Drosophila melanogaster: one gene and its partner. The protein of the gene in region 1 purifies or fractionates together with the protein of each later gene. This does not show direct contact. Each region holds a gene or a part of one and is shown on either strand. Other genes may lie near its edges.

Region 1 (5,606 bases):
ATGTAGATTACACAAGACATGCACTTCCACATGAACTTCCAGGTTAAGCAAAACGGAACGGAACTTCCCTTAAACATGAGATACATACGTGTATATGTATTAAAATCATTAAACTTCCACTTAAATATGTGTTTTATTTATTGGACTTTATTTGTTGCGCAGAAAAACAATTTTTGAGATTCTATAAGATTTCAGAATGTTTGAGCAACCCAAGACGTAAGGTAAGTAAAGTGGTTAAATACCCAGCAAAAGTGAAATGCGAGTTATTCGAACTTTAAAATAAACTAGTTTGTAAATTCGAATATTTTCTTCGCGTAACGGGAATTTTGAAATGGAATTCAGGAATACCCCTTGCAGATTCCCACACAATGTGACCGCATTCCGTTTGTTTGCATCGGCAAATGCGAGTTCAGCACTGCGGTCACACCGAATCTTTCTTTATTAAAATAAAAAACACGACGTCAACTTGCGAATTTCATACAAATTAGCCGTAGAAAATGTCGCACCTCGTGAAAATGGAAAACGGCCAGAGCCAGACCATCCAGGAGATGCTGGGCTGCATCGAGCGGTAAGAACTGCACAAATTCACTCAGTTATGATGCTTAGTAAAAACATAACCTCGCTTTTGCCGCAGCTACAACCCAGATCATCTGAAAACACTGGAGTCCTATGTGCAGGATCAGGCTAAGAACAACACCTACGACCTGGAGGCCAACCTGGCCGTGCTGAAACTGTACCAGTTCAACCCGCACATGCTGAACTTCGACATCACGTACACCATTCTGCTGAAGTCACTGACCAGCCTGCCGCACACGGATTTCGTGATGGCCAAGTGCCTGCTGCTGCCCCAGCAGATGAAGGACGAGAATGTGCAGACAATCATCGACCTCGCCGACATACTGGAGCGGGCGGACTTCACCCTCTTCTGGCAGCGGGCCGAGGTGAACCGCAACATGTTCCGCCACATCACCGGCTTCCACGATTCAATTCGCAAGTTCGTCTCGCATGTGGTGGGCACCACATTCCAGACAATTCGCAAGGACCTGCTTAAGGAGCTGCTCGGCGGCATCGAGGACTCGACGCTGGAGAGCTGGATCAAGCGCAATGGCTGGAAGAACCAGGGCCAGGGACTCGTCATCGTGGCCATGCAGGACGACAAAATCAAGACGAAGAACATTACGGAGAAGATCGAGTTCGACAACGTGGGCGCCCTGATGGCCCAGTGCCTGTAGGAACCTCATTCGCGTTCATAGTCCTTGTCTAAATTTTTACGAATAGTAATTAACGGAAAAAAAATAATAATAAAAGCCTGTCCGTACAGCTAAATTACTTTGTGGTTTATTCTCGATCGGAGCTGCTCGCCAGGCTGCTCCCACTCATATGATCAGACTTCCAGAACTACCGACCTTAAAACGTACACGTACAGAACTAATAAAGCGCTATCCTATTTATGACTGCTTCTTGAACTTCTTTAAAATGGGGAATATCTTGTCGAAGGCATCGTAGATCTCCTGCCGCACCTTTGCTCCAGTGAGCACCACCTTTCCGGACACGAAGATGAGGAGCACGATTCGAGGTCGCACCATACGATAGATTAAGCCGGGAAATAGCTCAGGCTCGTAGCTGCTGAAGTTGCAATGGGTCAGCACCAGGCCTTCCAAGCGTATGGGGAACTTGACATCGCAGGAGCCGACCATGTTTTGAATCTTAAAGTCGAGGAACTTTGCCTGCGGGAGAGAAAGCGTTAGAGATTCGCCGGGAAGAGAAAGGAAATGTAAAGTCTTGTCTTACAGGGAAACCGAGCTTTTGGATGATGCGCGCATACTTTCTCGCTGCCAGTCTGGAGTCGTCCTCACTCTTTGCCCCTGTGCACACCATCTTGCCGGAGCTGAAAATAAGGGCGGTGGTCCGGGGCTCTCGGATTCGCATAATCACAGCCGCAAATCGCTTAGGATTGTACTCGGCGTTTCTCGCATGCAATGCTATTTTCTTGAGGTCCAGTTTGCAGCACAGATTAACCGTGGACACGATGTTCTGAAGTTGTGGCACAATACCGGGATCAGCGGAACCTGGTGTGGCTGGTGTCATCGGCGTGGAGGGGCCCATCGTCTGGTGGATGTTGCTCAGGGCATCTCCGCCACCTCCGGCCCCCGAACCGCCCACACTCCGCTCACTCATGGGCATCATGTGGGCCATCATGCTCTGCGGCGTCTGCGGCTGCATCATGGACTGCGGAGTGCTCCCACCGCCGCCGGGCGCCTGACTCTGGAGCTGCTGTTGCTGCTGCTGCTGCTGATAGGAGGCCGATGGCTGGTAACTCTGCATTTGTTTGTGCGCCAGCGGGAGCGATGGTTCGTGGCCAAAGAGACCTGATCCCCCACTGGCGTCCGACTGCTGTTGCTGCTGCTGGTGCTGCACGGAACTGGAACCGGGTGCCGGCATCAACGAATCCGGCTGCGATACAGCCGGAGGATGGTACACAGGATTGGCCACTATCTGCTGGTCCGCTTCCATCTGGTGGAGCGGCGTTCCGATGCTCGGAATCGAGAAGTTGGGGCTTAGCATTTGGTCCATCTTACAGATGGTTTATTGTGGACTCCGGTGAATTTTTCAGTGACTCAATTCAAGATTGCTGAACGGGCTCAACTTTGGGTTTTAATTGCATACCCACAGAGCGGGAAATTAATTTAATAGTAATAATAATAATAATGTAATGCAACCGCGTTCGTCGTTGTACCTGTGGCTCGTTTTGTGAGAATGGCAAAGTCAGCGCTGCATTTTGCCGCAACTATCGATAGCTGGCTGGGTCTTACGTTTATCGTTACGTTCTTAGCATTTAAGTATTTCATTGAAAATATGTATGAAAATAATTATAACAATAATTATCTTTGATTGTATTTTAATGTTTAGTTAAAAATCACACTTCAACGTTTCAAATATTTCTTATACGTTAAATCTCTCCCTTACGTTGTTGCCAATCGATAACTAAAATGGCGCACTTTTCAAAAGAATCAAGTATACTTTGTTGTACTTCTGTTTAATAGCTAAATAATTTGTGTATAAGGTGAACAAAAGAAATAGCGAATAAATAATAGTGCATAATACTTAGAAGGAAAATGGTTATTCTCATCTATGCAGTTTCAGCAATAGATTTTCGTGGGCGTGAACTGAAAAACGATGTGTTAAAAATTAATTAATTGGAACTTTTGCACTTGGAAAGTGCAATTAAATGGTTATTAAACTAATTAGAAAAATGAGAACGCCGCCCATGCTGAAACCGAAGGTTGAATAGGCCAAACTTGTGACAGTTGCCGTTGAGGAATGGGTGTAAGTATTTCCGTGCTCATCGGTGTAGGAATGCTGCCCACTTGAGGGTGAGTTTTGGAACGTTCCTCCCATTTCGGGCACTGTGTAGGGTCCTTCGTTCTGACCCCGTATGTAAATGCCGTTTCCAGGTGTGCCGAACTCATGGGGACCATTTCTTCCATCATAATTCTGCTGCGCATTTGTCACTGGAGAAAAATAGAGAGAGAGTGTTGAATGGATGTGGCGGTTCTAGTGGTTCCCACACTTGACTTACCGGCAAACAACAGCGTGCTCACTATGAAAACAAGTAAAGTACACGATCTCATGATGCAGTTTCCAGTCACTGAGCTCAATTTCAACTGAGAGCGGCTCGGTAATTTACAATCTATTTATATAAACCGATAGAAAGACGAGCTTTTTGCCAATTAGCAGCTGAGAATGGGTAATGTCAAATGTTGAGCTTTCCTTGTGCGACAAACATTACAAGCGACAATGTACCAATTTTAAAATAGAACTACCCTATTGCCAATATCTAGCATTTTGCGCATGCCTTTACCCAGGAAATGAAATTTTTAATTTTAGTTCATCAGCTTGGGAAGAGAAGGCAGGCAAAAGAGAGTGCAGCAAATAGAGATTTTTGTGCATATATAGACTCCGAGAATCGTTATATAACATGCACTCAAAACAAACGAAAAAACGCGCAAATCGGGCGACAGTTCGAAACTACAAAAGACAAGGCCTGAAAACTAAGCTACTAGCGCCAAAAACAGAGTAGGTTTTCCAAAGAGTGTGAAATAGTTTGGAACCCAAGACAACCAAATTCAAGTGCTGCAGAAGTAAACACTTAATAAGGGCGACATGGAGAAGGTTTGTCAGTTTTTCCGCAACAACTACGTGCTGGCCAATTGCGAGGATGCCATATACAAAAAGGCATTCTCCCTGAATCTGTCCCACTACCAAATCTCCGACGTTCCGGGCATCATAGAGAAGTGCGAGACGCTGATGAAGCTGTTCCTCAACCAAAACAAGCTAACAAAGGTGGCACCTGGTGCACAAGATAGCCAATGAAATAATAGACTCACAATCCCTTGACTCACAGATTCCATCCTCCATTGGTAGTTTGATGCGACTTCAGGTCCTCACGTTGGACTACAATAAACTGGACGAATTCCCGCTCTGCATCTGTCGTTTGGTCCGGCTGAAGTTTCTCAACATCAGCTGCAATAACATTAGTAGTTTGCCACCCGAACTGGGATACCTCACTCAGCTGGAGACGTTCTGGTGCAATAATACTGGGCTCCTGGAGCTGCCCAACGAAATTCGTAACTGTGAACACCTCGAGACGCTGGGCGTACGGGGAAATCCCTTGAAGAAGTTGCCCGATGCCATAGGCGCTCTGTCCTCCCTGCGTTGGCTAACAGCCGAGGGCTGCGAACTCAGCGAAGTGCCACTGACCATGGCGTTGCTGGGAAATTTGGTGCATCTGAATCTTAAGGGGAATCGATTGCGACGGCTGCCCAGGATGCTGATGGCCATGCAGAAGCTGCGGTTTGCTTTTCTCAACGAAAATTGTATTGACGAGATGCCCACGCGGTCACAACTGGAGGAGTTGCGGACTCTTCACATGCTCAACCTGTCCAAGAATCCCATCAGCCTGCACCGCGATCTACAGCTAATGGCTTTGGTGAAGCTCCAAATTAACCTTTGTGTTTCTTTTTGTTGAATTTCTCTGAATTTTACAGCGCCAGACGAACCTTTATGTGGAGCTGCCGTCAGATCCCGCCAATATTTGCGATGGTCTCGCCAGTCGAGCTAGCCTCAACGCCCAGGAACAGCAGGAGGATCAGGCGCGAGGAGCAGGACAGGATCTAGACTCCTCCGACTGGGCGAACAGCGTGCGGACCAGCGAACTGGACACAACGGACGAGAGTGCGCTGGAGAACAACATCGAGGATCTGAGTGTCATGCTGCCGGAAATGTCGCGCTTTGTCACCACCTTTTGAATGCATTAATCTGTGTCAACGAGGTCTGATATTATGTAGCACACATAAATCTGTGGTTTATTCTCTACAACGGGGTGTTTTGTACATGTACCTCTAACAATCGTAGCGCTTCAAAAATGCACATTGGTTAAGCGGAAATGTGGGTTAATGGGTGCCAGGTTAACTAGACATCTTCTTCATCAGCTCCTCGTCCTGCATGGACATGGCCGTCAGCTTCTTGCCGATCTTCTCGTGAATGTCCAGATATTTGGCCACACAGCGATCGATGCACACCATCTCGCCTTTGCCTGTAGGGTG
Region 2 (4,206 bases), on another chromosome or scaffold:
TACAAACTTTTGTAATACACAGAAGTTTTTACAGGTGTACAATTGCTTCGCTCTAGCTGGCAGCTCTGCTACCGGCAACCTTTCAACTCGCGACAACTTGTTATCGATAAACGCGCGCTTAACTTGCATTTGCGTCCTGCTTTATTTGTAATTTTGTCAAGAAACAAGGAAACCGGTATGCAAGCCTTTTTGAAAACGGGAAAATCAACGGCGGGATCCGGAGACAAGAGCCAGGGTACTCCGGCGGCGCGTCGCAAGCCACCGGCACCGTGGGTGGAGAAATAGTGAGTTGACGATGTCGCCAACTTGGAGCACATGCTAATTTAAGTGATTTCTATCCTTTTCGAATGACGAAAACAGCCGGCCACGCAATGTGGATGATGTGGTGGAGCAGTCCGAAGTGGTGGCCGTGCTGCGCAAGTGCGTTGAAGGCGGGGACCTGCCCAACATGCTGCTCTACGGACCGCCCGGCACGGGCAAGACCAGCACGATCCTGGCTGCCAGCCGACAGATCTTCGGCGACATGTTCAAGGACCGCATCCTCGAGCTGAACGCCTCCGACGAGCGTGGCATCAATGTGGTGCGCACCAAGATCAAAAACTTCTCGCAGCTGTCGGCCAGCAGTGTGCGTCCGGACGGTAAGCCGTGTCCGCCCTTCAAGATCATCATTCTGGACGAGGCCGATTCGATGACCCATGCCGCACAGTCTGCGCTGCGTCGCACCATGGAGAAGGAGAGCCGGAGCACCCGTTTTTGCCTGATCTGCAACTATGTGTCCCGAATTATCGTGCCAATCACGTCGCGTTGCTCTAAATTTCGCTTCAAGGCGCTGGGCGAAGACAAGGTGATCGATCGTTTGAAGTACATTTGCGAGATGGAGGGAGTAAAGATAGAGGACGATGCCTATAAATCCATTGTCAAAATTTCCGGCGGAGATCTGCGACGCGCTATCACCACCTTGCAGTCCTGCTACCGCCTTAAAGGGCCCGAGCACATCATCAACACTGCTGATCTGTTCGAGATGTCGGGCGTTATACCGGAGTACTATCTGGAGGATTACCTGGAGGTCTGTCGCTCTGGGAACTACGAGCGCCTGGAGCAGTTCGTGCGGGAGATTGGCTTCTCCGCCTACAGCGTTGGCCAAATGATGGAACAGTTCGTCGAGTTCATTGTCCATCATCCGGGGCTGAATGATCCGCAAAAGGCCACGATCTGCGATAAGCTGGGCGTACGTACTGACTGCATAGATAGATATGATTCCTCTTGTTTATTGCTGCCTTTATCCCACAGGAATGCTGCTTTCGACTGCAGGACGGCGGCTCCGAGTATCTGCAGATCATGGACCTTGGCTGCTGCATCATCTTAGCTTTAAAGTAATCTCATCCCACTCAGCACATTCATTACATGTACTTTATCCGCGACTGGAGTCTAAAATAAATGTTATATTTAATATGAAAATCTGGTAGTTGTATTTGTGTATAAAACGTAGATTTCATAATGATTAACGGGCGAATCTATACTAAGGTTTTTGGGACTTCACATTCGAGTTGAAATTTAGACCCCCAGTTCGCTCAACCAAATGCAAGTGCTTTGGTCTGGTTTAAGAATATTAATTTAAGGTAAATGATGTCGTTTCGCTAGTTGGTCACAAACTCAAACTCCTCCTCCTCACGTTCCCGCTTGACGGCCACTCCAACGCCAGATGATCCTCCTCCTCCTCCTCCTCCGCTGGCACTTCCTGCTCCCGAACCGGATGCGCCAGCGATGCTGCCCACGGCCGCCGCATCGCTGTCCACCTCCATCTTGAGATCTCCGCCGGCGCCGGTGCTCTCGCTCTTAACCTCCTGACCACCGCCGCCCCCAGATCCGCCGGAGCTGCCCACCGTTTTCGTTGTCGTAGTGGTGGTAAACTTGATGACGGGCTTGGGAATGGTCACCACCTGCTGCTTGGCCACCACGGAGTGTGGCCTCTTCGGACCATTGGCGCTGGAGACGGGCTTAACGACGGTCTTCAGTGGACGGCCCTCCACCGCCGACTTGGTCATTTTCTTGGGCTGATTAGTGGCCCGCAGTTTGTAGTTGACGCCGGTGAGACAGTAGCGGTCGGGCGGCAGTCGGAGACCGCAGTGCGGCTTAATGGGTGGCAGGGGCATGCTGTTGCGCACGTCGGCCACCTTGGCTAGAACGTGGCGCTCCAACGGCCCGGTGAAGCTCTTGTCCAGCGTAACCTCGGTGGCCAGACGCACGTCGTCCAAGTCGATGGTCTTCTTGCGCGCATGGTTGGCGTACACCTTGGCGTCGTCCAGAATGCAGGTTACATAGCCTGCAATGCAAGACAGCATTTAGGAAAATGATGTGGGAAAAGCAAGGCATTAATCGCCGCTTACGGAAGGTGAACTCCAGCAGTTGGTTGACCACGCGCGGCTCGTACTCCTGGACATTCAGCTCCTTCAGGATGGACATGATCACCTGCGCGTCCTTCGGCACGTGCTTGATTTGGGCACTGATCTTGGCCTTATCGGACTTCTCTGCGCTCATACTTCTATAGTTATTATGTTTACGTCGGCTTTGCTGCAAGAAGATTGTTTATTCCATTGAAATTGTGCACGTACATATATACGGGTCTATCGGAAATCGGTGAGCTTATGCGATACTATCGATGCAGACGTCTAGTGTGGAAAACGCCGCTGGACTGCAGGGTGGCAACTCTGGCTCTGGCCATTTAAAAAAAACGGCTAAATTAGAAATCGATTTTTAAATGTAGGAACAAATCTAATGAAGCTTATCCAAAATATTAAACAATAAGCATATTTCTACCAGATCACATAACACCACATTGGCATAATAGGTGGACCAATAGGTGGAATATTAACTATCAGAAACAACAATTTCAAAATATTTCGGAATTAACGAAACGAGAACAAATGGCAGAGTGAAATGAAGACTACAATTCTGTTTAGTTTTAATAAAGTCAAAAATTTCTCTCACACGACTTGATAAGCTTATTAACAAAACTTGAATACCCCAGTTGTGGAAAAACAAAAACGAAGTCCCGCCAAAAGGAGCTAAAAACTGTTAAATTAACGTAAGAAACTTTTATTCATTAAACGTACAGCTCTACATACAATATGCACTATACTTGGAAGACAATTGAAGCTTGTCGCGCATTATTACATTCATATACATTGTACAATGAAACTTTTAGCTTAGATACATACACATATTTCTTTATTATTATTTTAGATACGCTACATGTACGTTACGTGCTACAATAAATTAACTCTTTATTGTTCCGTCTTTAAATCGCCATCTCGCCGTGGTCAACATATAAAACCATCCATCCATTCGTCTCTCTTAGATATTTGCAAAATAACGCGCAAACAATTCGCGCACCAAAAACTTGGACGCAACTTTGACTCAAGTCCCACGATCAGTTATACATACAAGCATATATATATATACTATATAGCTCTATATAGACTACAAACTAGATTCTTGTCGAAAAAAAAAATTGATGCTTTAAGTAATATTTTCATTGTCAGAATGTATGCGTTTTAAGATTTCGTTAGCGCTTGCTCTATTTTGATTACTGGGGAGGGCTACCAGGTTCCCTCCTGGTCATGATTTGTGATCTCTATGTCTCTATAACTCAATTGCAGCTGCTGGCTGAAGCTGGCTGGCCCCTTCGGGTGTGCCTCTAGTAGTTGTAGGGTCCGTACTGCGAGCCATGATAGTAAGGTCCTGGGTAGATCTGCGGCTGGGCGTAGTTGGCATAAGGGGGATAGGGTGGCTGCTTCTGCGAGTAAACTGGAAATGGAAACCGAAAATTAGTCATTAGTTATATTAGAGGGTCAGCACGATGGACATACCTGGCATCAGGTACTGCAGGTTCAGCTGCTCCTCCTTCTCCCGCTCGTTGCGCAGGCAAACGGCCGCGCCGGAGAGCAGAATGGACGCCAGGAGACAGGTTCCGATTCCTGCCCAGGCCACGATGTACGACCAGTCGTAGGCGATCTTCGTGTTGTCGCGCAGGACCTAATAAATCAAGATATTCATCATTAGTTAATCCACATACATGCCCAATGCAGCTGGTGTACATACCGTGTTCCACTGCTGGAAGTAATCCTCGCCCACGACCTTCTCCTTCTCAAAGAACTCGACGGTGTGCCAGAGTCCCATGGCGCCGGCGGCCAGGAGACAGGTGAC

The links. Proteins that work in one complex are often made in the same cells at the same time.
Region 2: the proteins of Tbp (region 1) and Taf9 purify together in Drosophila melanogaster (affinity purification with western blotting; 8 studies listed by BioGRID, with this or other methods). This does not show direct contact.

The regions. Positions count from the first base shown.
Region 1 is NT_033778.4:21,684,879-21,690,484, forward strand, and holds Tbp (TATA binding protein), read right to left. Parts: upstream 2,765-5,606; 5' UTR 2,575-2,764; coding exon 1,792-2,574; intron 1,728-1,791; coding exon 1,449-1,727; 3' UTR 1,314-1,448; downstream 1-1,313. Other genes in the region: eIF3k (eukaryotic translation initiation factor 3 subunit k), read left to right, coding at 498-568, 635-1,232; BaraC (baramicin C), read right to left, coding at 3,226-3,512, 3,581-3,632; CG10307 (uncharacterized protein), read left to right, coding at 4,165-4,344, 4,406-4,990, 5,049-5,309; Tim10 (translocase of inner membrane 10), read right to left, coding at 5,469-5,596. UniProt on the Drosophila melanogaster protein: General transcription factor that functions at the core of the DNA-binding multiprotein factor TFIID.
Region 2 is NC_004354.4:17,840,591-17,844,796, reverse strand, and holds Taf9 (TBP-associated factor 9), read right to left. Parts: upstream 2,637-4,206; 5' UTR 2,539-2,636; coding exon 2,388-2,538; intron 2,324-2,387; coding exon 1,638-2,323; 3' UTR 1,449-1,637; downstream 1-1,448. Other genes in the region: CG8142 (uncharacterized protein), read left to right, coding at 178-284, 361-1,228, 1,291-1,377; CG6398 (uncharacterized protein), read right to left, coding at 3,698-3,807, 3,870-4,035, 4,102-4,206. UniProt on the Drosophila melanogaster protein: TFIID is a multimeric protein complex that plays a central role in mediating promoter responses to various activators and repressors.